Linked DNA regions of Diceros bicornis minor. The protein of the gene in region 1 interacts with the protein of each later gene in a biochemical or structural test. Links are inferred from orthologs where the notes say so. Each region holds a gene or a part of one and is shown in the gene's direction. Other genes may lie near its edges. The genes, in order: CUL3, DCUN1D4, PEF1 and DCUN1D5.

Evidence for each region.
Region 2: the proteins of CUL3 (region 1) and DCUN1D4 form a complex in vitro, tested with the Homo sapiens proteins (2 studies listed by BioGRID, with this or other methods). The link is inferred for Diceros bicornis minor from reciprocal best matches to the Homo sapiens genes CUL3 and DCUN1D4.
Region 3: the proteins of CUL3 (region 1) and PEF1 form a complex in vitro, tested with the Homo sapiens proteins (2 studies listed by BioGRID). The link is inferred for Diceros bicornis minor from reciprocal best matches to the Homo sapiens genes CUL3 and PEF1.
Region 4: the proteins of CUL3 (region 1) and DCUN1D5 form a complex in vitro, tested with the Homo sapiens proteins (2 studies listed by BioGRID, with this or other methods). The link is inferred for Diceros bicornis minor from reciprocal best matches to the Homo sapiens genes CUL3 and DCUN1D5.

The regions. Positions count from the first base shown.
Region 1 is NC_080776.1:14,112,518-14,119,737, reverse strand, and holds the start of CUL3 (cullin-3), read left to right. Parts: upstream 1-4,197; 5' UTR 4,198-4,597; coding exon 4,598-4,663; intron 4,664-7,220. UniProt on the Homo sapiens protein: Core component of multiple cullin-RING-based BCR (BTB-CUL3-RBX1) E3 ubiquitin-protein ligase complexes which mediate the ubiquitination and subsequent proteasomal degradation of target proteins.
Region 2 is NC_080747.1:40,350,497-40,358,020, forward strand, and holds the start of DCUN1D4 (DCN1-like protein 4), read left to right. Parts: upstream 1-4,514; 5' UTR 4,515-5,067; coding exon 5,068-5,230; intron 5,231-7,524. UniProt on the Homo sapiens protein: Contributes to the neddylation of all cullins by transferring NEDD8 from N-terminally acetylated NEDD8-conjugating E2s enzyme to different cullin C-terminal domain-RBX complexes which are necessary for the activation of cullin-RING E3 ubiquitin ligases (CRLs).
Region 3 is NC_080752.1:46,549,069-46,555,997, reverse strand, and holds the start of PEF1 (peflin), read left to right. Parts: upstream 1-3,920; 5' UTR 3,921-4,211; coding exon 4,212-4,235; intron 4,236-6,929. UniProt on the Homo sapiens protein: Calcium-binding protein that acts as an adapter that bridges unrelated proteins or stabilizes weak protein-protein complexes in response to calcium.
Region 4 is NC_080746.1:31,996,893-32,004,304, forward strand, and holds the start of DCUN1D5 (DCN1-like protein 5), read left to right. Parts: upstream 1-4,392; 5' UTR 4,393-4,646; coding exon 4,647-4,732; intron 4,733-6,888; coding exon 6,889-6,980; intron 6,981-7,412. UniProt on the Homo sapiens protein: Contributes to the neddylation of all cullins by transferring NEDD8 from N-terminally acetylated NEDD8-conjugating E2s enzyme to different cullin C-terminal domain-RBX complexes which is necessary for the activation of cullin-RING E3 ubiquitin ligases (CRLs).

The DNA.
Region 1 (7,220 bases):
GGGTTTGGGTGCTATAATAGACATTTAAGATTTTTCTTTAATTCAAGATATGGCGTCTTATATGCTCATGTGTCTCATATGCTTCCTGTCTCGATGATACATATAAAGAAAATAGTAAAGACAAAGCAGAAAAGGTGCATGGACAAGACCTACAGTTTTCAAGTATCTGTGGCTATGTTTGCAATGGGATACTCCTATAACATGTCATCTTATAAAGCACATACCAAAGTTACTGGTCTAAATGTTATAAATCTAATGGCCTATGATGCTCATTAGTTGCCTGGTGGAGACAAGGAAGAAAGTAGAAGATCTAGCCCTTACTTTTAAGGAAGTGATATAATATCTATAAATCTTCTCTATGCAATTTGAAAAACATACATCTTTCCCTAACACAGTCTTCGTCTATTCAAAACCACTGAACAGGTCTTTCTAATTGAATTGGTAGGCTGTCAGCTGTTTTAATAACCAATATCTGCACAATCAAATCAGCAGGTCTGATACAGTGATACAAGTGGCTTGGTATCCTGGATACCTAGAAACTCAAGGCCAAGAAGAGGCTATTCCCTTTCACTGGTTTCTCAGTCTGTACTGTCCATTTCTAGACTGAGATGTACAAAAGGGGCAGGCCCATTCAGCCTCCCGGATTCTCTGACCGCACGTGCTCCATATGAGTAAATGGAAATGAGGCCACTGTTCTCCTGTGTCAGGACTCAGTCAGCATAAGTAGGAAACCAACCAGCAGGCATGCAACATCCAGTGAGTTCCTCTCCCAGCACTGTTTTCTCTGCTGGATCAGGTGGCAGTTGGCAGAAAAACCGATATCCTGAAAGTTCATTTGCTATTTGCAAGTCAGGGAATACCACCGGGCACAGAAGAATAGTCTACTGCTGCTTTGGAGAGTATTTCACATACATTTTGAGGATGCTGGTTTCCTACAAAGGAAAATCTCTGATTTCTGAACTGGAGTGTATAGGAAGTTGCCAGTCTAACCTGGGTCTGTGGTTTCCAAATTTTGAAATGTGAAAAAGGACTATATGTTCTGTGGTGGCAGATCTCATCTGTCTTATTTACCTTAGTGCCTGACACGTAGCAGCCATTAAATAACTATTTCTTGAACATTTATTCGAACCAATTGGTTTGAATGAACCAATAAATGAGCAGTAGATTTCTTAATGGCAGTGACATACAAAGTCATTTTGAAGAGTTTTTCTGGGTCTTTGTGGTTAAAAGCCTAATGGAAGACACAGTTGACAGCGATTCTTTCAAATGCAGCTAAATTTTGCTTAAGCAAAACCAACACGTAAAAATCTGGGTTCACAAAACAAACAAATTAAAGGGTGATTATATGCTTCACAATTACACAGAAATGTGCCTTATTGCAGGGGGTTCCTAAATCTGGCCCATGATGCTGTATCAGGTTCACACTTAAGCGAGAAAAATCAGCTCTGTGTATTGTTCTTCAATAGGGCTAAATTAACCAATTTAAAGAACCGTTCTTTGTTCAAAAACTCACCTTCTCCCATTTCTGTGGTTAAAATACTTTTTTAAAAAATAAGATAATGTGGGGCCAGCCCAGTTGCGTAGCGGCTATGTTCCTGCGCTCCGCTTTGGCGGCCTGGGGTTCACAGGTTTGGATCCCTGGCATGGATCTACACACTGCTCATCAAGCCATGCTGTGGCAGCGTCCCCCATACAAAATAGAGGAAGATTGGCACAGATGTTAACTCAGGGCCAATCTTCCTCAAACAAAAAGAGAAGACTGACAACAGATGTTAGCTCACAGCCAATCTTCCTCACCAAAAAAAAAAAAAAAAAGATAATGAGGCTAGTCGATGGTAGTTATGTCTTTTTAATGCCCTTAGTTGCCAAAATAAAGTTGCCAACCCCATATTGGTTCCCGGCTTTTTAAAAAATATTTTACTGGTTTGTGAAATGTAAGTGTTGGAGACTCGCTTAGTTTTAAAATAATATTCATTTTATGAAAGCATACAAGTGTTTTTAGAAATCTACATATTGGTTAAAGGAAGTTAGTATAAACTTGACCTTAACTACCCATGATAATAATAGCCAACAGGTGTTGAGTGGCTACTCTGTGCTGAGCACTGCTCTCAGGGCTTTTTAAAATGCTTTAATTACCTAAATTTCACAGTAGCCCAAAGAGGAAGTATTATTTTTATCCCCATTTCACAGATGAGAGGAACTCTAGGCACCAACAGTCAAGTCCTTGCCCACAAAAGCCACATAGTACAGGTAGTCAAGTGGTAGAGCTGGTTCCAGAACATATATTCTTATGTTACAAAGAAACTGGGTCACAGGACAGAACAACCAGTGGAAAAACATTGGCTGTTATTATATTCTAATGATTATGGAAATGGAGGTTCAGCACACAGGAATTTATAATCAGCACACAGATTATAAATTCCTATCCAAGACTCATATCATCTTATATTTAAATCAGAGCCCCTCCCAGTTTTACCTTATCAACCCAGTTCTGGATGACCTATTTTTAGCTTCAGTATTTATACAGATATTGCTTCAAGCAACATCCTTGTTTCTTAAGCTCGTGTTTTCATTAGTGAATACCAGAAAACAAAACAAGAAAATATGATATTTCCAGTGGAGCGTTTCAACCAAGTAGGGGATGAAAACAACACTCTTAAATTTAGTCATCAGGATTAAATTAATTTAGAGCAAGGTCAACCTTATAGTAAACAAATAAAACAGACGATTTCAGTTTACTTATTTTAAAAAAGTACAAAACCCCCCAGCTTCCAAGTGCTATAAAAAAGTATTAAAACTCAAGTTTAAAAAAAGTATTAAAATTGGGGCCTGCCCCATGGCCTAGTGGTTAGGTTCCCCTCAGATCCCCAGGCCGGACCCACACCACTGGTCAGCCATGTTGTGGCAGCAAACCACACACAAAATAGAGGAAGATTGGCACAGATGTTAGCTCAGGGCAATCTTCCCCAAGGAAAAAGAAGACTGGCAACAGATGTTAGCTCATTGTGAATCTTCCTCAGCAAAAAAAAAAAAAAAAAAAAAGTATTAAAATAAATAATAGCTCTCAAATGTAGATACCCATCTTATTTAGAAGTTCACAAACTTAACTGGGAACTCACATATTCCTCTGCAGAGTCAGAAATCCAAATAGAGCAAAGAGGTAAATTAGGAAGTAAAATTCATAATAAATAGAAAGCAAAATGAATGAATCAAACTAGACCTTTTGACTACAATGACAGAAAAAAAATTCCCAAATTTTTAGCAAAGTGGAATCAAAGACAATTTTGGCTTTCAAAATCTATGGTACTCTTGGTAATAGTAAAAATGATTTGGCAGGTTAAAGATAGGTTTCTATCAGCCTATCTTCTATTTAACACCATTTACCAAAATATTGCACTACATAAAAGGCATTGTCATTTCATTTCAATGGTAACGAAAAACAGATTTTTAACACTAATAAGTCCTGGGTCCCTCAGAAAGTATCAACGAATCAAGAAGTCCTGAAGCGTCTGCAGTTTAAGGAAATTTTGTGGATTAACATCTCCACCCCTCAGTCCTAAAAGGTGGGGTGTGCACATCCAATCCGAATACCCGGCATACAGGACCCTAATTTCTGACACTGCAGGTAACTCCAGCACCAACTCTTCTCTCAACTTTCTGGCTTCTGCTCAAATACCCATCCCTAGTCCACATGCCCTAGAAAAACACAGGAACCAGTTCTGGATGGTTATCCATCTCGCACCCCACGCCCGCCCCGACACTACCCTCGCGACCCAGGCCAGCCGGACCCAGCCCACTACAGTCCCGCTCCGGCTCTCAGAACTTCCCCCGCCCACTCCATCCACGTGACCAAGACCCCCACCCCCGCCCCGCGCTCCACCAATCAGCAACCTCCTCCGCCCACAGCCGGTCTCCAGCGCTCCCCTTTCAAAAAGGCAGTTTACTCCGCCCGCCCTCGGCCCCGCCCCTTTCCCACCTCCCCGCCCCGCGGGTCCCTCCCACTTCCCCGGCTCCCGGTTCCCTCCCTCCCCTCCCGTTGTCCCCTCCCGCTCCCCGGCTTCGCCCCGCCCCGCCCGGGGCCGCGCGCTCGCCCTCTTCTCGCGAGATCGGAGCGTCCCCGCCGCGGCCGCCCGCCTCCCCTCCCGTCCTCCCACCCCCCCTTCCCCCAATCTCTCCACTCTACGGCTCTTCTCCCTCCCTCCTCCCCCCTCCACCCTCTGGGCCGGATCTCGTCTCGCTGAGGCGGAGGAGGAGAAGGAGGAGGAGGAGGACGTTCGGCCTGCGCAGTGAGATGTTTGTCCGTCGCCGCCGCCGCCGCCATCGCGGAGCAGCGCGATAAAGGGAGCCGAGCCGGGCGCGAGGGGGACGCCGCGGAGCCGCCGCGCCAGCGCAGCCCCCAGCCGAGCCCGCGCCGCCGGAGCCCGCGCCGCCGCCGCCCCCGCCGCGGCCGCCCAGGGCCGGCCAGCCGCCCAGCCCAGCCCGGGGGCCGCGCCGCCGCCGCCCCCCGCGTCGCCCCCCGCCCGCCCGCCCGCCTTAGATGTGACACCGGCGCCTCGGAGTGCGACCCGAAGCCGCCGCCGGGGAGGGGACGAGCACCATGTCGAATCTGAGCAAAGGCACGGGCAGCCGGAAGGACACCAAGATGCGGATCCGGGCCTTTCCGGTGAGTCCCCGCTCGGCGCCGGGGACCCCGGGGCCGGGGGCCCGGCCGAGAGCCGCACGCGAGGCCCGGGCTGAACTCCCCCAACAGGCCGCAGGCCCGGCCTCCCCTCCCCCACGCCGCCGGCCGCGGGGCGCGAGCCTCCCGGCAACGGGGCGCCGCGGGCCGGGCCTCCTGGGCCGTTCCCAGCGCCCCCGCCGCGGAGCGGCGCCGCCGGCCGGGCCCCCTCGCCGGTCCCGCGGCCCCGGGCGCCGGCCCGGTGCCGGGCGCCGGGTTCCGGGATCCCGGCCCTGCCGCGATGGGGACGGGCGAAGTCCTTGTGTGGGGCGCGTGTGTAACTTTTCACGTGTGGTTTCGCTGCGGGTGAGAAAAGAAGCCAGCCGAAGAGACGGCCAGCCAGACCTTTAGAATGATGGAGGGCACTGTCCTCTCCCTCTCCTCCCCCGTCGGGGAGGGTTGTGCCATCCGCCTACCCCCGGCGCGGTGACAGTGGTTCCACGTAGTGCTGTATAGTAATGTACCAGTAACATGGGTGTATTTATAGCATCTCTCATCCACAGGCTTCAGAGCACTTTACCAACTCTCATGGGCAGAAACTGCCTTGCCACTCAAGGGGAAGCCAGAGAGAACAAATTGGACAATTGGTTCTTTATTTCTTAGCCATGGAAGCCCAAAGAACGAGGAGTCACCATCCTGAGTTGCTTTACCGTCTAGGTTTTAGTGACAGCAGACGTTTTCTGTTTAGAAACTTTCTTTTTTAGCATTACGTTGACTCATATGCTTGTGGCGTTGAGTATATAGGGTATAACTTCGGGTGTCATATCTGAATCGAATAGCCAATGACAAGCATTAAAATGTGCTGTTGTAACAGAGAAACTAGGCGTATTTGCTCGTGTCGCTACAGTAACAGGCATACGTCAGGACAGACAAACCAGCAGTTGAACAGAAAATTTTAAAACAGCAAAGCTAGAGAAAGATCTTGGGTTTCCTTGCTTAAAATCATAAACATAAAGTGTGAGGGAGGAAGAGGCAGTTTGTACTCACTTTTTTAAGCGTGCTTTTTGTAAAGTGTAGTTTGCAGTGAGGAAAGACTTATTAGTGTAGTTATTCTAGTTGAGTAGGAAACCGACCCACTGAACTTGAGGACCTCTGTGAATTTTTAAAACTTAAAAGACCTGATGCAGACACCTGATGCAGAATTTTGAAATTGTGGTAGCGTAAATACTAATGTCGATGTGTAGAAACTTTTAGTTTTATGTAAGTAAAGCTAGGGTATACTCAGGAGAATTAAGTATTTTGATACTGATGAAAGGGATTTTGAATTTTTTTCTTAAGTAAATGTGAGAAACTACAAAGAAAATGAGAAATGTTGACAAAAGAGCACTAATGACGTTCACTAGCACGTTTTCCCTTAAAATGGAACAAAAGCTGGGTTTGTGAATTTTCGAGTAATGTTCGTTTTCCTACTAAATCAGTTCTGACCATTTTTAGCAGAATTTTAGTTGTATACAACAAATTTTCTAGGAAAAGCTTTCTACTCTTACAGTCTGAGTTCTAATTCAGATTTATTACTAAAATGTGGAATAGCTCACATTTGACATCAACTCACTTATGTCAATATTCTGATTAACCAGTTATACCTTTATCTATGTGTGATTAACCCTTTGATCTCTTTAGGTTTGCTTGTTCCTATCTGTTCTCCCATTCTTTCATTCATTCAACAAAGATGGAGTACTGTGTGCCAGGCGCTGTTGTGGGAGCTTGGGATATATCAGTATAGCTTGAAAGACCCAGATGCCTGCTTTCTGGATCTTACATTGCTGGGAGGAGGTGGTGGGAGAATATTCCTTTAGCTGAAGAGTGTAATATTATGTGATAGATTAGCACACAGTACTGATGAAACTGATTATTTTAAAGTAGCGCTATGTGTATGAGCTAATTTGGACCCTTTCTGTTTGTAACTTGTTGGCCCTCTACGTTTTTCTAAAATCCTTTAATGAAGTTAAAATATTAAACTAGTGTTTGATATTTAGTAGTTAACATCTGCTAATTTTTCGAAGTTTAAGGATTTTTCGTTATTTTATAAGTATTAACATCATCATAAGTAGTTCCCGCTGAAAAGAACTATTATATTTTTTAATATATAAAATTTTAAGTCATAGTTCCTTGAGCCTTCATTTAGTATAGATATATGCCTCAGTGGTATGGTATTTCACTGACTTATCCTTTAGTAAATGTTTGAGTACTTACAGACCTTGAAAATTTGTTTTTTCTTCCAGGTTAGTGATCTTTTACATAACTATAGTCTATGTGGATTGCTAGTTAGAAGTAGTAGATGCATAGTATTCCATAAAGAAAAAATACTGTTTATGTATATACATATGTACATACTTACAACTATCGTATTTTACATTACCATTTGGATATATAGTTAACCATAATTTAAAGGAAATTGTAGTTTAACCAAAGGTCTCGAGTGCTCATTTCAGATTCTGTTTTATAAAATTGATGTGTAAAAATATATTTTGTGATTATTTTGTTTTCATTGCAAAATAGAGTG
Region 2 (7,524 bases), on another chromosome or scaffold:
ATTGGTGAGGAGAATGATGTTAACACCTTCCTCTCTGCCATTTGGTTTCTTTTCATTTTCGCCTGGCTTTTCAGCCTTGAAAAGCCTGGATCTTGATCCTTTTTTCATGTGCTGGTGGAGTACTGGGGAGTGAGGTGGATTCCTGTCTGTGCTGTGCTGAGGTTGTTCCAGGAGTGCATTGGCCGTGGAGGGTTGGGGGTTGAGTCAGGGTGGGGCTAGAACTCCCCTCTCTGGTTGCACATTAGGATCATCTGGGCTGCTTGAGAAAGGATCGACCACTCCCATTTTTATTTAATTGATCTGGGTTGGTGCCCTGGCACTGGCATTTTTTTTCAAGATTCTCAGGTGATTCTGATGTGCAGCCACTGGATTAGTTTTAAATAGCTAAATTTGTGAGCTGGGTTTGGTTTGGGCTGTTGGGGAAGGGGACTCAAAAGATGCATAGCTCTTCTACGGGCCCTGCCCTCGGAGGATAGCACAGACCCTTCTTGCTCACCATGTGACATTATAGCCAGGGCTCAGGTAGCGCTTACCGTGTGCCAGGCTCTGTTCTAAGCGCATTGCAGCATTAACTGATTTAATCCTCACAGTATGCTTATGAGGCAGGCACTGTTATTCATTTTATAGATAAAGAGATTCCTACTTCTGGCAGTGAAGGGCATGTGATATGAAGCTGTCCGACAAACCTAGCTTTTGGTTTTTCCTAGTTTTGTGGTATAAAAAACTCATTTCAAATCTTTGTGTTTTAGTAATTTGGCCTTAAATGTGAATATATTTGTTTTTACGAATGAGACATATACCTGTGCCATCGCGTATAGGTAAATGACTGTCAGCTGGGATGCATAGGTGTAAATTGATATTGTAGATCATTTAAAACACTACTTTTTATAGTGTCAAAAAAAAGTTGACTTCTCTTTATAGTAGATTTTATATTTCAAGTCATTTTGAGGTAGAATTCATTTTAATGATCTTTTTTACTTAAAATTACATTTTGTACGTTTTTTTTTTTTTGCTGAGGAAGATTCACCCTGAGCTAACATGTGTTGCTGATCTTCCTCTATTTTGTATGTGTGCTGCCGCCACAGCATAGCCGCTGACAGACAAGTGGTATAGGTCTGCGCCTGGGAACCGAACCCAGGCCACTGAAGCGGAACATGCTGAACTTAACCACTAGGCCGTTGGGCCTGGCCCACTTTTTATACTTTTCTTTTAAAATCACATGTACTATGTATGTGCGAGCTCATATGTAGATGTGCTCTGACTCCTGATCTGGCCTGCTCTTTACACTCTGGCTACTGTAACCTTCCAGGATACTAAGCAAATCAGCATTTTAAACATGCTCAAGTCTCACCATTGTAAAACCCAAATGGAACATTCCCTCAATCCCATGTGCATTTCTAGTCTCCCTTTCACAGTCAAACTTCTGGAACAAGTTGTTAAGCTTGACTTAGTGTGTCCCTCACCTCCTGGTCTATCCTTAGCCCTCTTCGTTCTGACCTCAGTTCTGGCATTGAAGTCTTCGCTGAGGTCACGGAGTAACATCCACGTTGCTGGATCCATTGACGACTTTTAAAGCATTCATTCCCATATTCACTGGTCTCTGTCATGTGTTAGGCTAGCTATGCTAGGTATGGGGATACAGTGGTGAGCAAAGCAAAAGAAAGTCCCTGCCCTCCTGGAGCTTGGGCTTGAGGGAGAGTGACAAAGGACAAAGATTATTGACATTATAAAATATAACATCAGTGTCACAAAAGACCTCATGGTGTATGATTCCATTGATATAAAATGCCTAGGATGGGCAAATCTGTAGAGATGGAAAGTGTGTTAGTGGTTACCTAGTGCTGAAGAGGCACGGGCAGGGATGGGGAGGTATTCCTAGAGGGGTGAGAAAAATACCTGAAGATTAGACTATGGTGATGGTTGCATAACTGTGAATTTACTAAAAACCATTAAATCGTGCACTTTAAATGGGTGTATTGTGTGGTATGTGAATTATATCTCGATAAAGCTGTTAAAGAATGTCAGAAAGTGACGAGTACTATGCAAAAATCTAAATCTGGTGGAGATGGATAGGGAAGTCAGAGGAGTCCTCTCTGGTGAGGTGACATTTGAGTAGATATTTCAGTGAAGTCAACTGTCAGGCCTTGGAAACATCAGAGGTCATCAAGGCAGAAGGTATATTAAATGCAGACGCCCTGAGGTAGGAATTCACTTGAGTATTCAAGGAAGAGTGTGGCTGGAATGGAGTGAGCAAGGATAATGGAATGAGATGACTTAGGTCAGATCATGTAGGGCCTTGTAAGGACTTGTTAAGGATGTGGATGTTTTTCTTTTATGCTGCAGTAACAAATCCAGAATCTCAGGGGTTGAAATCAAAGGTTGTTAATATCCTTTGCAGGTTGGCAGGGGTCTCTGCTTGACATCATTGACATTCTCATTCTCAGTCTATCTGAAACCCATAGGAAAGAGGCCTCCTGTTGCTAGAAGGAAGGAGACAAGGCAAACCTAAAAAATGGCTCTCAAATACAGAACACTGTTGGCTTTAACAACGAAGTTTTTTTCTTTTTCCATATCACTGAGCAAAATTGATGTTTCAGGATGGGCCATGTAACCTGTTGCTTAGAGAACTCCTAAGCATTCCGTGTTGAATCCCATTAGAGAGGCCTTGCCCTGCTCGACTGGATCGTGTTCTTGTTCTGTCCCAGAAACATTTAGGATGAATGCTGATATTGATAACCTTTAATTTTGTCCAGTTTTGTTTCAATATTTTGGCACTAACATGGTCATTATTCTGCACCACCCCACCAGAGCCTTTACTGGTTTAGTTTATCATTTTCGTTGTCATCAAATATCTGTGCATAGTGATGCATTAAAAACTTTTATACTTGAGAGCATTGCTCACTGACTCACCCACTGGAGTTTAAGCTAATAATAAAGTATTTTTATGACTCGATAGTGACCAGAAGAAAGAAGTGTACTTGAAATAGAAATAACATTGGTGTTATTGGTGATATATTTTCTGCACATCTTTTCTCTTTTTTTAAAAAAAAAAAAACTTGGTAAATTGTTTTAGATTTAGCCAGTTTTAGTAACTTTTTTTTTTTTTTATGAGGAAGATCATCCCTGAGCTGACATCTATTGCCAATCCTCCTCCTTTTTTTCTCTTTTTCTCCCCAAAGCCCCAGTTGGTAGTTGTATGTCATAGTTGCACATCCTTCTAGTTGCTGTATGTGGGACGCCGCCTCAGCATGGCCGGACAAGCGGTGCGTCGGTGCGCGCCTGGGATCCCAACCCAGGCTGCCAGTAGCTAGTAGCGGAGCGGGCGCACCCAACACTAAGCCACGGGGCCGGCCCTTAGCCAGTTTTAGTAACTTTTTAAAAAATATTACTCTTAAGTTTGTGTGCTTGATTATTAACAACTTTAGGTGGGAAATGCTGATTTTTCCCTTTATGGAACATGAAGATCAATTTTTGCTCTTGTTAGAAATAAGCTAGAAGGAGGAATGGACTTTGAATTGGGAATTAGAAGATGTGCATTATTCCCGGCTTGGCCACAGCTAGCTGTCTGACCCTGCTTGAGCTAATAAAACGAGGAGAATTGGACAAAAGGACATGGAATGTTGAATGGTACTCTCTCATCTCCCAAATGCTGTCTTAGTGGTTTTTCCTTACAGTACAATCACATACATTTTATATAGAAGTTAGTTCTAAAGTCCATATGTAAGGTGACGATCACTTGTATTAAAAATATCGCTGGAAATACGTTCAGGTGGTGCCCATTGGAGATGGTTTCGGATACAGGCAGCTCTTCCTCCAGCGTTGGAACGGATCGCTGGCTCTGGAGTTGAGCACCAGTTGAAGCAGCTGGCTTGCATTTAGGGACCATGTTTTATTAAAAAAAAATCTTTAAATACTAGACTCCTAGAGTGTTGTGAGATGCACAAAATGTGATTGGCACATGGAAACTGAGGCGGACCGAGTGACTGTGGGATTCGTGTTGCCCATCTCCTGCTCATTAAGTAGAAGGGAAGGCAGTTCTGGGACAACTGAAATTTTTTTGTTCTCTCTCCCTCCTTTTTTTTTTTTTTTGCCAAGTGAATAAAGTTGAATTTGTGTGAGTTAAACGTGGATGTTCTGCAATCCTGCTGTACTCAGGATTTCTCTTCTCCGCTTGTATTGCCGCTGTCTAACTTAAGGCCGTAATCATTTCCTACTTCAGTCTCTTCCAGTAGTCTTCATGAAAGGCCACTCTAAATCCGGGCCACCCGTCATCCATGCCACACATTTGCCATAGAGGGATCTTTCTAAAAAACTCCGGGTTTTAACACTTCCACGGCACCCAGAGCCATAGCAGTGCTTCTCAAACTTCTCCACCAGCATTCCGCTGTGGCAGAAGTTCAGTAAATTAGGTACTCGCAGGGTGCTTGGAGCATAGTTCGGTGTGGTGAAATTTCTTTAAAGTCTTGTGCCATAATCATATTTTTGTTTTTATGTAAAAGTGTTGTAGGCAAATTACCATTGAGTAAAATTGATGCTGCTTGAATGCACCATGTTTGTTTGTTACATTTGCATGCCTTTGGGTGGCTCAGCTGGAAATACAAGTCCTTAGGAGATTAAATCTAAACTCTTAAGCAGGGTTCACAGATCCTTGTTTTCTGACCTTTGCCTTCCTTTTGAGTCTCCTCTTTTATCATGCTGCTTCTCACATTTGAAGATCTAATGGTGTGGATGCACTTGAAATGCCCTGAATATATCGAATTTAAGACTTAGTGCCTTTGTACCTGCATCCATTCATTCATTGAGTGTGTACTGAGCACCTAATATGTGCCAGGCATTGTTCTAGGTACTAGGGATACAGCAGTGGACAAGACCAAGTCCTGACCTTCATGAAGCCTGCATTCTAATGGGAGAGGAATATGACAAACAACTATAAACAACTATATAATATAAAGAAAAGTAAAAGAAAAAGAAAGGTAAAGCAGTGTAAGGTGATAAAAGAGTAAAGAGGGAGTCCTGTTGTTGGTCTGGCAAGTTTCTGTAAGAAGGTGATATTTACATGGCAACCTGATGAAGTGTGAGAGCAGGCCATGTTACTATGTTATTATGAGAGGTAAGAGGGCTCAAGGCAAAGACAACAGCGTGTGCAGAGGCCCTGAGGTACGAGTGTGCTTGGAGTGTTCACAGAACAGCAGGAAGGTCACTGTGACTGAGAAGAGGGAGCGAAGGGAAGGTGAGTAGGAGATAAGATTGGATAGATGGGTAGAGGCAGAATGTGCAGGGCCCTGAGTCTGTAAGGATTTTTCATTTGTGTTGAATGCCTTCCCCTTCCATCTGTAACTATTGGGTGAGGTTGGAACTAATTTTAATTTGTTCACATTTGCTTCTCCATTTACTAAATAATTATCTCTTCGCCATTGATTTGAAAGGCCATTTTATCATACGTTAATTGTATGTGTGTTTAGACATACATATATATTCATGCGTACATACATATGTTTATCAACTCTTTTCCATTGATTTTTCTTCTTGCACATGTACCATACTATTAAAATTACTGTACCTTTATATCAGGCGTTGGCAAACAATAGCCCATGGACCAAATCTGGCCCACCACCTAGTTTTCATAAATAAAGTTTTATTGGAACACAGCCACACTCTCTTGTTTATGTATTGCTTGTGGCTGCTTTATGAGTTACAATGGCAGAGTAGTTGCAACAAAGATGGTATCGTCCACAAAGCCTGAAATATTTACCATCTGGCCCCCTACAGAGAGTTTACCAACCTCTGCTTTACGCTATGTATTGGTATCTGATAGGGTAAGTTGTTCCTCATTCTTCTTTTTCAACAATTTCTTGGCAAGTCTAGCATGTTTGTTCTTTCAGATGAACTTCAATCTGCCAAGTTTCCCTGACTCCCTTTTCCACACCTCTTTTTTGGGTGGGGATCTGGGAGGCCGAGAGAATAGGAATTTGACTGCATTTATTTTGTAGTTTAGTAAAGGGAGAAGTGATCACTTTACAATACTAGGTCCTTCCATTCCAGGAATGTAATATCTCTACGTTTATGTCTTTTGGTAAACTTTTATTGTTTCTTCATCGTATGTTGTGTATTTAAGTTTATTCCTGTAAGGATTATTGCTTTTTGTTGCTATTGTAATTGAGATCACCTCCCAGCTATGTTTAACAAGTGACTATTTATGGTATAAAGGAGAGGTTTTGATTTTTATGTACTTAAATTGTTTTTGACCCTCTTATGGAAGTAAACTCTTTTAGGACTGTTGATTTTTAAATTTGATTCTTTGGGTTGACAGTCGTTGTCTGAACTTACTGATAATTGTTTCATTCCTAACATTTGTGTCTCCATCTATACTGTGGGATTCTATGCCTGGGGTGGTTTGGGGGAATGGATTTAGACCGTCTCACTGGCATTCATTTTTTTTCTTTTATATTATGCAGGTCACAGCAAATGGTAATTACAAAAAAACTCCCCAAATCAGAAAACTTGATGCCCGGTCTACATTTGTTGGTAGTTTTAAGAATACCTGGAAGACAGTTTAGGCAAGCTGTTTGTTAAGCAGGTTGTGCCTTTTTGCAGAGCCATTTGTTACAGGATATAGGGTTTGCATGTCACGCTGGACTTGTAAACCTGTGTGACATGCAAACCCAGTCATTGCTTTACTGTGGAGAGCCGTTTGATCTTGGAATAAAATTGATTTAACCTAGCATTTATCCTTTGGAATTGAAATATGAGCAGAAGGAGATTTTTATGAATCAGTTAGTGCTTTCCTAAATACGTTCTCTGTAAAGCATTTGATCTTTACCCTTAATATCTGTTCCTTAAGGATGTGAAATCTATTTTAGATTTCAAGGTCTGTTACTTGCTCTGAGCACTGAATAGATGAACCATAAATTCAATATATGTTAACCTTTGTGGGTTAATCTTTTAATGCCATTTTTGTCCTTTTTCCCTGAATTTGTGTCTCCACCTTAGCTTCTTGGTGAAACTAAAGATAAATTATTTGTGTTGCTGGTTCCTTTTCTTTTTCCTGTTTTTTTTTTTTTTTTTGGTGAGGTGATGATGGAGTGGTGATGGTAGTAAACATTGGATATGGAAATGGAGAATTGCTGACATATGTGATGTGTGAAATGAACTTTGTTACTCTCGTTGCCTGTGAAGTGAAACTCCGTATTTAGAACCTGGTCCTAAATGCTCGTGTATATTTTTTCCGCTGTGTTGAGATTCACTTGGACCATCATTATGAACATCAGCTGGTGGTGTATGAACATAGCAATGCCATCATGGTCTGTAGAGATGTATCAGGCCGCATGCGTCAGTCATAGAAGAAGCTCCAACTCTGGGGTTTTTGATGTAGGGCTTTACTTGGACCTACGGAAGTTAGAGACCATTTTAGATAACTGTGGGGTGTGGAAAATGGTATAAGCGAATTTAGTGATAATGATGTCTTTTATTGAGCACTTATTGTGGTCCACGCATTGTAATGGGTGTCTGCCACATCTAGGCATT
Region 3 (6,929 bases), on another chromosome or scaffold:
ATGCCTGGGAGGAATGGTATGTCTCTAGGGGAGGCGATGTTTTCCAGGGGATGGGGCTTCCGTTACCAAGCTCTGCCTCCCCTCTAATGGCTCAACCACAGTGCTTCCATGAACTCAGGAAAGTGCTCTGTGCTCTAAAAAGGGCTGGAATCCAAGCTTTCTCCTTTGGCTAAAGATGAAACAATAACAGGAACTTCCCCACCCACCTCTGTCGGCCTCAGGTAGTTGAGGTTTTGGAAATGAGTTGATTGTTTTTCAGTCTTGGGAAGATCCCCATCTCCCTCTTTTCCACTCCTCTCCAAAATAAACACACCTGGGCCTGCCACAGGTCCTCAGAGGTGTAGCCCAGGACGTTGGCTTTGGCTGGTCTCTGACTGCCCGAGAGATGACTGGGATGCCCTGCCCCCAGAGAGCACAGATATCCCACAGAACGCTCTCCTAAGAGCCCTTTGCTGAGCAGAGAGGGCTGGGGTGTGAAATTCTCATAGGAGTCTAATCCTCGGCACCTAGAACAGAGCCTGGCAAGTGATGGGAACTCACTAAGTTAATACGTTTGTGGAATAAAATGAATGTGCATCATGTTACCCCAGTTTGCAGGCCAAGTGTCACTATTCTCTCTCCCAGCAAATATCCCTTGACTGTCAGCCCAGACTGCAGGACTTCTCCCCTTCTGAGATTTTGCAATTCGATTCCACCTATTCTGGGGACTTGGAGGGGAGGTGGTTACAAAAGTAAAGAACACAAGACCTACTAAGTACCCAGCAGTTAAAAGATTGTGGACCTGGGTTCAAATCTTGACTTCTCTATTATCTTTTTGATAGTAGGGAAGTCACTTAGTCTCTCTCAGCCTCAGCTCCTCATTATAATGGGTAATAGAATCTATCACAAAGGACTGTGGTGAAAATGAAACAACACATCGTACTTAGCACAATGTCTGGCACCTAGTAAGCATTCAATACAGGATAATAATAATAATAACTACTACCATTTATTGAATTCATGCCAGTCACTATTCTAGGCACTGGAGATAGAGGCGTGAATAAGAAAAGGACAATCCTACAATACACATGTAAACTTTAAAGAGGACAATTCAACTAGCAACAAGTATCATGAAAAAATGAGACACAGTGATATGACAACTAGAATGTGGTGGCAGTGGGGGCTATGTTACTTTAGACGTAGTATCAAGGAATGTTCCCCCAAGAAGGTGATAGTTGAACTGAGACCTGGATGGCCAGGAGGGGCCAGCCAGTGAAGTGCCTAGGGAAGAGCATTCTAGACAGAGGGAAGAGCTAATCTGAAAATCCAGAGGTGGGAATGAGCTTGGTGTGGAGACCAGGCCAGCTGGAGTGAACTGAGGAGGACAGCAGTGGCAGGAAGTGAGGCAGAGACGCAGGCAGGGTCTTGGTCATATAGGGCCATGAAGGTCATAAGGATGAGTTTAGATTTTATAAGAGTTACGGGAACCCTCTGGAGGAGTTTAAACCCAGGAATGACATTATCTGATTTACATTTAAGACAATCACTCTGGCTGCCCTACGAAGAACAGAGTGTGGGGGAAAGTGAAAGCAGGGCCATGGGTCAGGAAGCTATTGTAGTGATCCCGGCCGTAAAGGATGGTGTCTTGGGCTAGGGTGATCGCGCAAACAGGGAGAAAAGAGCAGATGTTACTATTTCTAGTATTACTAGTTTCTAGTATTAGTAATACTAGTTACTAGTATTACTATTTCTAGTATTACTATTTCAGAAATAGAGCAGGGTCTATTTCTGAACTAGACCAAATGGGGGTGGGGAAGTTAGTGGAAAAACAGAGACCACACAAGAGTGATCCTAGGTCTGTGGCCTGAGAGACTGGGTGGATTTTCTGAGATGGAGAGGAATGGATTTTGGGAAAAATATCAAAGAGAACTCTTACACAAGGCAGGCTGGAATATAGCACAGTGACAGTACCAAGTGCAAAAGGAGGCAGGCAAGAGAGTGGCTAACTCTGGACTTGCGGGAATGAGGGAGGGGTAGTTGCGGGGTGGGGTTGGAACTGAGCTTTGAAAGACTGGAGATGTGAAGGCTGCTGATCTGATGAAAGGAGTGGTTTGGGCATAAGCCTGGGCATGAGCAGGTGTGATAAGCCTCTTTTTCAAATCTCTTTACATATTTGTTCTGACAGCCAGGACACTGAGACTCACAAAGGTTAAATAACTTGCCCATGGTCGTACAGTTAGAAAGCAGTAAATCAAGATCCTCACTCCAAAGCAAGAGTGCTGGATGGTGGAACTGAACAAAGGAGTACAGAGGGGAAGACGGGCAGGGGATGTAAGATATAAGTTTGGAAATGTGAGGTTGGGCCAAAGGTCAAGGGCCTGGAGTGCCAGAATAAAGCGGTTGGGCCGTATTTTCTAGGTGGAGATGAAGAGGAGCCATTGCAGGCTGTCCAGTGGGCAAGCATCATGATTGGTTCTGTGATTTTGGAAAGCGCCTGGCTAGATGGTTAGAAAGTTGGGCTGGAATGGATAACACCTCATAACACTACTCACTTACTTATTTTTAAAAAATACAGTGTCAGGCACTGTACTAGGTACTGGGGATATAACAACAAGTAAAAACAGACACAATCTGTGCCCACATGAAAGAACTTAACAAAATAGTCGAATAAGCATTCAAATAAGTGTAGAGCCCGAATTACCAAGAGGCAAGTTAAGTACTTGACTATGAGGTCACTTGTAACCAGGATCTGACCTACTTTGGGGACCAGTCAAGACTCTGCTGAGAACCGGGCATCCATTGACCTCAGTTCTAGATCACACTCTGCCCTAACCCACTGCGAACCGGGGCAAGCCTCTCTGGACCACAATTTTCCCATTTATGAAAGAAAAGGCCCTAGATGATCTAACTTTCCTCCCACTCTGACGGTGTGGTACTTTCTTCTCCAAAGACCACAGATCTTACTCAAAGGTACTAACTGGCATGTGGTGTCAACATTAGAGAGTAAGTACAGACAGTCCCCGACTTCGGATGGTTTGACTAATGATTTTTCGACTTTACGATGGTGCCAAAGTGATATGCGTTCAGTAGAAACCATACTTAGAATTTTGATGTTGTTTCAGGCTAGGGATACGTGGTATGAGACTCTCTCATCATGCTGGGCAGGAGCAGCAAGCCACAAGTCAAAGGGGTCAGCCATGGTATCACCAAGGTAAACAACCAATACACTTACAACCATTCTGTACCCATAAAACCATTCTATTTTTTCAGTTTCAGTATTCAACAAATTACATGAGATATTCAACACTTAATTATAAAATAGGCTTTGTGTTAGACGATTTTGCCCAATTGTAGTGTTCTGAGCACGGTTAAGGTACACTAGGCTAAGTAAGGTACAATGTTGGGTAGGTTAGGTATATTAAACGCAGGTTAGGTATATTAAACGCACTTTTTTTTTTTTTTATGAGGAGGATCAGCCATAAGCTAACATCCATGCCAATCCTTCTCTTTTTGCTGAGGGAGACTGGCCCTGAGCTAACGTCCATGCCCATCTTCCTCCACTTTATGTGGGACACCGCCACACCATGGCCTGACAAGCAGTGCGTGGGTGCACGCCCGGATCCGAACCCAGGCCGTCAGCAGCGGAGCGCCCACACTTAACCACTGCGCCACACGACTGGCCCTAAACGCACTTTTGATTTAAGATATTTTCAACTTAGGATGGGTTCCTCATCATAAGAGGAACATCTGTACTTCCGCTGTTGCCTCTAGCCTTTCCACGAGGCCTCAGGCGGTTCCCCGTTGTCAGGGCAACCGCCTAAGCCCTCCGGCGGCGGAAACTTGAAGTGACGACAGCAACGACGCCACTATCATGCGTCCCATTTGCCAGGTTACAACATGGCCACTGCTGCAACACCCACCCAAGCCTCTCACTAAATATCCGGGACTGACCAGCCCTGTGGCCTACTCTAGGGCAGCAGTGGGAGAAACATCCGCGCCAACACAACGAACAAAATTTCGGAAACAGGACGCCGACGTTCAGGAGAAGCCCCTCCCGCTTCTCCGGAGTCACTCGACCACCGCCCTATACCGTCACTTCCGTCGACACATGCGCCCAGGATTGACAGTCGCGGACATCCAATCGAAAGCGGTCCCGCCCCTAGGCCCAGACAAGGGACGGGTTTGAAACCAGGAAGCCCCGCCCCTCGTCGACGTGTTACGTCAGAGTCGCCATGGCCAGCTATCCCTATGGGCAGGTGAGTGCGTGAGGGGCGGGGGAATCCAGGTAGGGGCCTCGCTACGTCCGGGCTCGGGACCTCGCTTTCCTTTCTCCCCGCTTTCTTCGCGCCCTTCCCACGCTGCGGTTGGCTTCAGCGAGGTCTCGCGCGGAAGAGAAGGGAAAGGGGACGGTCGGTCGCGTCTGTCACGTCACGTAGGACTGCACGTCGGGGAGGTCGTGTCGCGCCCCCTTTGACGTGGCGCACGGGAGGATTTGGGGGACTTGGATCTCATAGACCCAGGTTGGGCTCGGCCTGGCCCCACACCTTCCCAGGTCTCCGGCGGGGACCCTGAGCGGGGTCATCAACGCCAGTAGAACATTTAGACGCTAGTTCCGTCGGTATCATTTGGGGCGTCGGATAAAAATACACCCCAGACGTACTGCATCCGAATAATCAGGAGCCTCTGTGGCTTAGCAGGCTCCACAGGTGAGCTTCTTTGACTACTGACTTCGTCCAACACCCGCCTCCTTTCACACATAGGAAAAATGAAACCCAGAGAAGACACGGAACTTAGCTGAAGTGACTAGGCAGTTAGGCAGCAGAACCCAGAGCTGTCAGCCAGTGCCTCTTCCCCACTTGCCAACCCATCTCGATCCAGCCAAGAACACCGCAGCGAGGTGGTTCTGTGGCCAGAATCCTTTGCTGGGTGACGGAAGTGTGGAGGGGTAAGTGCAGTTTGGAGTCAGAGGAAGGTTCACATCTTAGCTCCATCACTTAACTAGTTTGGAGCCCTTGAGCAAGGTATTTTGCCTTTCTGAGCTGAAGTTAACTCCTCTGTAAAATAGGACCAAATAATAGAGTCTACCTCATAGAGCTGTTGGGAAGAGTAATGAAGTGATGCTTGTAAAGCATTTGGTACTACTAAGAGTGTAACAGGTGTTACCTCTCAGTGTTTTGATTTTTACCAGATTCTTAGAAGGTCAGTGCTGGGAGGGCCCTCAGAATAGTCCCTTCATTTTATTTTATTTATTTATTTTTGTGTTTGTGAGGAAGATCAGCCCTGAGCTAACATCCGTGCTAATCCTCCTCTTTTTGCTGAGGAAGACCGGCTCTGAGCTAACATCTATTGCCAGTCCTCCTCCTTTTTTTCCCCAAAGCCCCAGTAGATAGTTGTATGTCATAGTTGCACATCCTTCTAGTTGCTGTATGTGGGACGCGGCCTCAGCATGGCCGGAGATGCGGTGTGTCGGTGCGCGCCTGGGATCCGAACCCAGGCTGCCAGCAGCTAACCACTAAGCAGCGGGGCTGGCCCACTCCCTTCATTTTAAAAGGAGGAAACTGAAGCCCAGAGAGGGCTACTGAGTTGCCCAAGATCATGCTAATTTAGGAGATAAAACCCATGCAGGAAAAATTGGAAGACAACATTGTATGGGACATTACAAAGCAGTCGATGAGTACAGTCACATGGCAAAGGATGTGGCAAGAGCGCTCTGAGGGAGTGTAGCCCTGTACAGTTTTTGTACAGGTATTGGACCTCCATTATCTCAATCATGAAGCCCTGGAGGCATGCCGGCAGGGATTATTACCCCCAGTTGATAGCTGAGGAACGAGCCCAGAGAGATTAAGTGGCTTGCCCAGGGTCACACATAGCAAGTGAGGGGGTGAGGCCCGGGCTAGAACTTAGAAATCCTTTCATTGCATACTTAGCAGGGGTAGGAAAGAGAGAGGCCAGCCTAGGCGAGGGTTAGGAAGAAGTATAATCGAGCAGTGTTTCCCAAGCTCCGTTCCATTTGCTGAGTCTTGTGAGATGTTGATAGGTATTGCTAATGGAGGAGGATTTTTGTGGTTAAATGCATCAGGGAAATACTCTGTTAAATACAGCTGAATAAGTTGGTTCACCATAGGTCATCTCAGAATTCTTGATTTGTCAATATACATTGTAAATCTGCTAACAAGGGATAGAATATGCAGTATTTCTTAAACTTACCAACCATGGAATTCCCTCCTCCTCCCTTTTTTTATGTCTGGTCATTTTTCGGTAACACTAGTATTCCTGAGGAACACTGGGGAAACAGTCAGCCTGCGTCAGAATCACCTAGAAGCTTGTTGAAAACACACTTTTGGGTTCCACCTCAGACCTGTTCTGCACCCAGGAATGGCCAGGTGTCTACATTTTAATAAGCTTTAGGAGGTACTTTGTATGCATCCTAGAAACAGTGACATAGAAATTAAGAACCTGATCTTGCAGGTTAGACAGAACTGGGCTCAAATCCTAATTCTGCTGCTTAATAGTTACATGCCCTTGGACACATCATCTAAGGGCTCTAAGCCTCAGTTTCCTCGCTTGTAAAAAGGGAGGAATAAGACTTCATAGGACTGAAATGAGGATGAAATATAAAGCCTATAGGGAGCTTGGCACACTGCTAACACATAGTGTGTGCCAGTGCTGCCGCTGCTACAAATGCTGTTATCATGCCATGCTGCCTGGGCTTATGCTCAGTGAAATCTTGAAAAGGAGCACAGAGAGAAACGTGTCTGGAACGGAAGAAGAAATGCTGGAATAGCAAAAAAGTGCTTTTTTTCATATCCTTGTCTGCCTGTCCAGCTCCTGGTCCATGGTGTTCCAAGAAAGGAAATGTATTTTTTTTTAAAGCGTCCAAAGGCTTGGTGAGCACCACCTCCCCTCCACCCAGTACATAGCCCTGGAGGATTCCAGCCTATTGTTAGGAG
Region 4 (7,412 bases), on another chromosome or scaffold:
TTTTATGAATTCTGACCTTTCCAAAGGCATTGAACCTAAGTGGCTCTCTTGAGTTTATTGCTTTCTTCCAGCAATATTTTTATATTTTTATTTATTGATTTCTGTCCACTTTGACTTTTTTAAAATTAAACTTTTTATTTAGAAGAGGTTTAGATTTACAGACAAGTTGCAATGATAATACAGAAAGTTCCCATATATCTCACACCCGGTTTCCCCTATTATTAACATCTTACATTAGTATGGGACATTTCTCACAATTAATGAACCAATATTGATTCATTATTATTATTATTATTTATTAGACTCCATTCTTGACAGGGAGTGGCAAGGGTCTAGAAGAATATGTGGGTTGAGAGATATCATTTCAACCATCTTTAGAAAATACAATCTACCACAGTGAGGTATACGCAGAAACTAATCTTATGCTTTTCCCTACTACCCCTTTAAAACTACTCTGTGAACTCATTCATCCCTGGATCTTGAATAAAATCTCATTCCAATACCATACTGTTGTAGACTGTATTTACCTTTATTTGGTGCCCCTCTCTGCAAGAGGATTATACATTCCTATCCTGATGAACTCAGGAGTAGCCTCAGGTGTATGACTTAAAGAGAAGTGATACACGTCACTTCAGGGCAGAACCTTTAACAGCCAGCATGGGGTTCACCGTATTTTCCTTTCTGTCTGTCGTGATGACAGGCAATGTTCCAGATAGTGGCTACTTCCTCAGGCTGGGTCCCAGAGTGCACCAGGCCCACAGACAGGCTGCAATTGATGTGCTCTAGCACACTGCTTTAGGAGGTATGGGGTACGTGGTGTGACATAGTTCTGCACTGTTGGGCCTCCCTAAAACACAAGTTCTCATGGGCTTTATTGAAGCTCCAAAACAGAAAGTCCTGTTTTAACATCCTATTTCTCTGGGTTTATGGGTATGAAAATATTTTACAAAATTTTGACTTACAAGATTGTTTTGAAAATCAATGTTAATGTATGGAGAGTATTCGTATAGATCCAGGACTACAGTAACATGTGGCATCCCACAAATCACTTAATTTCTGTGTTGCTTGTTTTTCTGGCAAGTGGAAATGCCCTATTTTAAGGTGGTGGTAAGAAAAAAATGAACTAAAATAAAATAAACAGAATATATAAATTAGCACATTTTAGGGCACTATTTTTGGCTGCTTTAATACAGATACAGCTATTTTAAAAGCTGTTTTTCCTGGCTTCATTCTATAACCCCCAAGAGCTAAGGGGTATGTATATAACCAACATGTCAAACAGATGACAGAGCTATGGCCCAGTCAAGTCTTTTTGCCTACTGCTCTATTTCGCATAAATATACATCCACTGTCATTACAGATTGATATTATTTAGTTATTTTTTTCTATATCCTTATATGTAACAGTATGATAAGATGAAGGATAAAGGAAGTTATGTGTCTTACCTAAGGGCACTGAGTGTCTTCTTTGGAGTTGAAACCAGAACACATGAGTTTCTGCTTAAGGTAAATTCTTCATCCCTTCCTTTCCTTCTCATTACTTTCATTAAAAAATTCTACTACATGACAAAGAACCACAGTACTCTGTCATAGTTTGTTTCTCCATTATAGGTGCCTTCTTGATGGAAAATAATGTACTATCCATGTGAGCAGCAGCAAAGATTAAAACTACATAACTAGGCATTTCTATACTGCTCACAGGCAGTGATGCTATCAATATGCCCCTTCTGTGAAAGTAATTGGGATGATGGAATGCTCCATTTTGAGAATGGAGGTATGGTGGTGGCAGTAGGTACTGATCAGAGAAGGCAATGAAGAAAACAGTCTACATGACCCTGGAAATCACCCTCTCCTTAATATTATTGACGAGTATAGATTACTGACCCTATTCTTTGTTCATAAAGTTCTCTTAAGTACAAATAGGCTGCTGCTTTATATTTCCCCCTCCAAACTGTAAGCTTCATGAATGCAGGAGTCATGCCTGCCTTTATATCCCTAAATCCAGCACAGTTCCTGGTTTAAGTGATCATTAAATATTGTTTGAATAACAGACTGGATGAATGAATACCATACATAAACCCAGTCTTTTATCTATTTTTCAGAGAATTCTACAGATGCAGGTAGGCTCCTGTCCAATCACTGCATTCAGCTGAATCTCCAGAATCTCCAGGTGTGGTGGGGTCTTCTTCCTTAGGTCTAGAAGTAGTTCTTTATGGTCCAGTGACCTATAAACTAAGAGATAATTATCTGCTCCCCACTCTCATGCAATAAACAACAGTGGAGAATGGACACAATAACCACAATAAATATTCCTATTTAGAGAAGAATGGAAGATGTGCAATAGTCACTGGTCCATAGCAGTGCTGGTATCCTGCTAGACAGGCATTATGAAGCTTCCTTACCCCTTAATTAGGCCTTGATTCTGCTCTCTGGAAGGATATCCCTCTGAGGTCTTAGTATTTATCTTTTAGAATTTTATTCCATTTCCTTTGTCCTATTTGGGGAAAGGCATGTTTAGCTTTTGCAGCTCACTTATTGAAGAAATAAGCTTGGTTATTTCTAATGGTGTTTTGTCATGTCTTTTTGTTTTGTTTTGTTTTTTGGTTCACACTTTTTTTTATCAACTTTACTGAAGAATAATATTCATACAATAAAGGGCATACACTTTTAATTGTACAGTTCAATGAATTTTGACAAGTATATACACCACCACCTAAATCGAGACATAGAATATGTCTATTATCCAGAAACTTCCCTTGTACTTCCTTGCAGTCTTCCCCCTCCATCCTCATCCCATTCCAGTCCCCAAGCATCACTGATGCTGTCCTGTAAATAAGTTTTGCCTGTTCTAGCATTTCATCAATATCAGCTAGTGTTCAAATTCCCAATTGCCTCATAAATGTCATGATATTGTTTAAATTATTTGAATCAAGATTCAAATAAGACATATGAAAAATGATATATCTTTTAAAATTTCTTTCTCCCACTCTCTTTATAATAATTTGTTATGGAATCTGGGTCATTTTTCCTGTAGATTTTCTGACAATATAGATTTGCTGATTGCATTGAGTGTTAATATGTTCCACCATCCTCTACTTACAGATGGCATTTCTTTTTAGAGACTTGACCTTATTCAGATTTGATTTTTTGGCCTCATGCATTTTTAACTGCGTTGTGGGATTACAGCATTCAAGAACAATATTCTTTTGGTTGTAAGTAACAGAGAACTTAATTGCATAACCAAAACAGTGAGATTTATTGCTCATGTATCTGAAAATTCCAGGGCATACATAGATTCAGGGCTCATTTCATAAAATCATGTCTTGGTTTTTGTCTTTCTGCTTGATTCTGGTCTCTTCTGAGTTTTGGCTTCATTCTCCACATCCTCTCAAGTTCAGTCCATAGGAAATAAAGTTGCTTCCTGATGGTTCAGTTTCATATCATGGCACTGACTAGCAGGTCTTGAGTCATGTGTCTGTTCTGAACCAATTAATGACACTAGGGAAATATGATATTCTGATTGGCCAGGTGAGGGTGCCAAGATGGAGGTAGTCTCACCAGAACCTCATCAACTGTTATTGAGTTTAAAGAGACTTTTAGTCCTCTACCATCACAGTTGGTTTACAGATGTGAACTTATTTTACATGTATATATTGAGTAAAACGACTTTCTACTATATAATCTTTACATGCAGTAACCTTTATTTATAAACAATATTTTCACTGAAGTGGAGCTGGAGTGATTGCAAGTGTACTGGGTAGTAAGGATTGGGGGGAGGCCCCTTAGAATTGTCCCCCAAATTCTCTTTACTAAGTCAGCGATCACGTACGCTTATCTGAAAGGTGAGCTCTGTGGAAACAGAAATGGTAGAGCTAAGTTTTAACAAGGGGAAATGAGAAGCAGAGGTCAGGGATGATGGAGAAATGGAGGTGGGAGAGCGGGAGGCTGATCGCCGGCCCGTAAAGAAAACAAGCATTTAAGGGGTGGGGAACAATTAACGTGAGGTTACCGAATGGAAGAGCTCAGAAGTGAAACTTGGTTTACTTTACCAGGTTATTTGTAACGCCAACTGCAGAGTATTAGTGGTTTCATAAAACATTTCTTGAGGGTGACTACCAGCCTTAGGACAGGATGGAAGCTTCGTGAGAAAGGTCGGGATAGCCTGGACAACCAAAGACGGTCAACTGGCCACCAGTTCACGATTTCTCCACTCCTGGCAGCTACGCACCGTCGCTCAGCCTGGCTGACGGCGAGCCAGGGCCAACCGGCGCCACGCCCCTCCCGGCGACCGGCTCTGAGCTTGCGTCACTTCCGGTCCTGGGCGATTCGCTTCCAGGTCGGACTGAGTCTCTTGCTCTCGGAATCTGTGAGTGGTGGCGGTGCCGCGCTGTCCGCGTTCTCTCTTCCCGGTGTGACCAAGCTGCAGTGTCCACCGGCGAGGAGTACCCGCTGCCCCGAGCCGAGGAGGACGAGGAGGAGATCTGGGAGCGAGCGGCGGCCGGCCTGGGCCGCTCTGGTGGGGGCTGGCGACTCTGCTCCTTCACTTGCTGCTGTCTCTGGGAACCGGGTGTCAGCACTGAGGAGTCTTCAGCGGACAGCGATCCCCTTCCCCGGCTCCCCTGCCCACCCTGCCGGGGAGGGCGGAAGATGCCAGTGAAGAAGAAGAGAAAATCCTCTGGGGTGGCAGCGGCAGTAGCGGAAGACGGAGGCCTGAAAAAGTGTAAAATCTCCAGGTACCACCTCCCCCCACCCTTCAATCTTTCCTCCTTCCTCCTTCGCCGGACGGCAAGGGGAGAAGGAGGCGGGCCTGGTCTCCGGGGCTCGGGCTGGGGAGAGGTGAGCCCACTCTGAGAAAGCTAGGTGGTGGCTGCAGGACACCGCGAGTGCCTGCGCCGGCTCCACCTCGTGTTCGGTGTGTGCGCTCTGGCGCCTATGGAGGGACTGGAAGTCTCCTCACATTGGAGTCTCCGTGCCCTGGAGGGTGGGGAAACAGGAATGCGTACGTAAATTGCGCTCTTTCCCCTTACCCGCTACACCCTCAATCCCACCCCACCCCCACCCCCACCCCCACCCCCTGGCCTTCTTTCCAGACCTAGAAGTGAGTACAGATCCGCGGAATGGTCACTTCTAGAATTTCTTTGTAGAGTGTGAAGAAAGGAGCAGAGCATGAGGACTCTTGACCTGACAACTGCCATGGGGATGGTAGAAAGGAAAGCTCCCTGTGCTATAATTGATCTCCGGTAGTAGTTGGAGTGGTCTAACCCGGATGATCCCAGCAGCAGGCCTTTAAATCGCAGGAGCTGCATTTTCTGGAAGGATAGCGCCTCCACCTGCGCCAAGTCCCTCTGTGCAGAGTTGGAAAGGCCCTGTATGCGTTTTGTGTTCTAGCATTCTGCTGTTAGTTCTCAATATAAATATTAATAATTTGAAAGCTATTGTACTCTGTATCCTCTTGGAGAAAAAGAAAACAAAGCAAAGCTATAGTTATAGCTCTTTGATCCCATTGTAGCATGTCATTGGAGCATCGCAGCAACCTTGTATGCTGCAAAAAATCATTGCAATTTAGGCGTGAGAAGTGGGTTTTTTAAATCCGCTTATTGGATGTCTTTGGCTGTATCAGTGGTTGGCACTTGATGTGACAACTTTAGGTGCTGCTATGAAAAGAAGACTAGCCAGCGTTATAAAGAGGAGATTATAATAGAGCTCTCCTTAAAGAGAGACCTGCTTAAAATGTGAGGTCGGTGGCTTATTTAGTCTGCATCTTCTTTTCATAATTGGTTAAATTTTTTTCCTTCATTATTGTGTTTGGCAAAGGAGCCTAAGGATATTTCTTGGGCTGTTACTGTGAAAGATGGTGCTGTTTTCATATCCCTCTTGGTAACTCACACTAGAATTTAACATGGTTACTCCACTAGCTCATATTTTTATGAAACTTACAAATTAGTTTTTTATTATTCTAACTTGTAGTCATCTTAAGTGTATAATGTATCAAAATTATTTAAATTGAGCACATTAAAATAGCTGAGCAGTCAATATTATTAGAACTCAGGTGATACTTTGCTCAATCAACTTAAAATTTTAAATATAGTACCCTTATTTTACGTTACGTTACATTACATTAGTCAGTTGCAGAAGTTATAGCATTTCTATGTTATGGTGGTGTAACTATTTGAGCTTCTTGAGAAGGTTCTCTGAAGTTCATTAAATCCTATGGCCATTTATGAAATTCCTAACTTTTAATGGTTTTATGAAAAAGATAAACAGACTCTGGGATTAAATAGCTTTGGCCCAATTATTTGTACTGTTTCTATCTTTTGGAGTTTTTTGTTTTTTTTTTTTTTTAATCTGTGGAATTCAATTTTACCCATAGGTCGTAAATCATCTTTTATCTTTAAATATCTATTTAATCTTAGTTGATGATGAACAACTCTTAATACATAATTTTATTTTGAAATATTGATTCATTAAGTATCAAAATATACTTTGTAAGATTTTGTTTTCAAATGTGTACCTATTATACACAAATATAATTTTCATGCAAATCAGCAGAAGGATCACTGGAAAGATTTATGTTTTCCCAAGTACCAGTCCTGCATTGAGAACATTAGGTTGAACTTCTGTGTGGTCTTTTGAAATTTGGGGAATTAATTTTAGTTGATATTTTTGGAATTTGATAATGAGCAAAGTAGCATTTGGGTTTTGTTAGCCAGAAATTTTAATGTACTGTTTCAAATTGCAAATACTTAACAACTCCAATTTTTTTCTTCTAATGCCAGCTGTAAAAAAAAATACTTTGTTTAGTTTGAATTGAAGTAGTTCATATTGAACTTAGCTTTTCACTAAAAGTTGAGACTTGATAAAATTCTTAGGCATTTGTGTGTTTTCTAAGCTATTGCAGATCCCAACCCCCTGCTAGACTAATAAGTGGAGAGGAACATTTTTCAAGCAAGAAGTGCCTGGCTTGGTTTTATGAGTATGCAGGTAATGAAATTAATATAAGAAGATATCGGTCACATGCTTTAAAACGGTTTTTTGGTTCATTATTTTAACGAATTATTTATTGCAGGCCTGCTATGTGTTAGTGCTGTGTGCTGCAATCAGGGTCAAGGCTGAGAATTGTGGGTAGGCTAAGAATTTGGTGCCATTTCAGGCTGATATTTTCTGTAAATATATAATTCAGTATATATTTAGTAGGAGGGTTGAAACTCATTTACTGTTAATACAATTTGTAAGCAGACACGTTCACTTACTGGTTTACATCCATTGACTAAAGTGGACTTGGTATTCTGGAAAACACAAAGTATGTAATAAAACATTTTATACGTTATATAGTTCTTTTCAGTATTCTTTTGAAATTTTTCTGAACTAGAAACTGACATTTTCTGACACTTTTAGGAGACATAGTAAAAAATT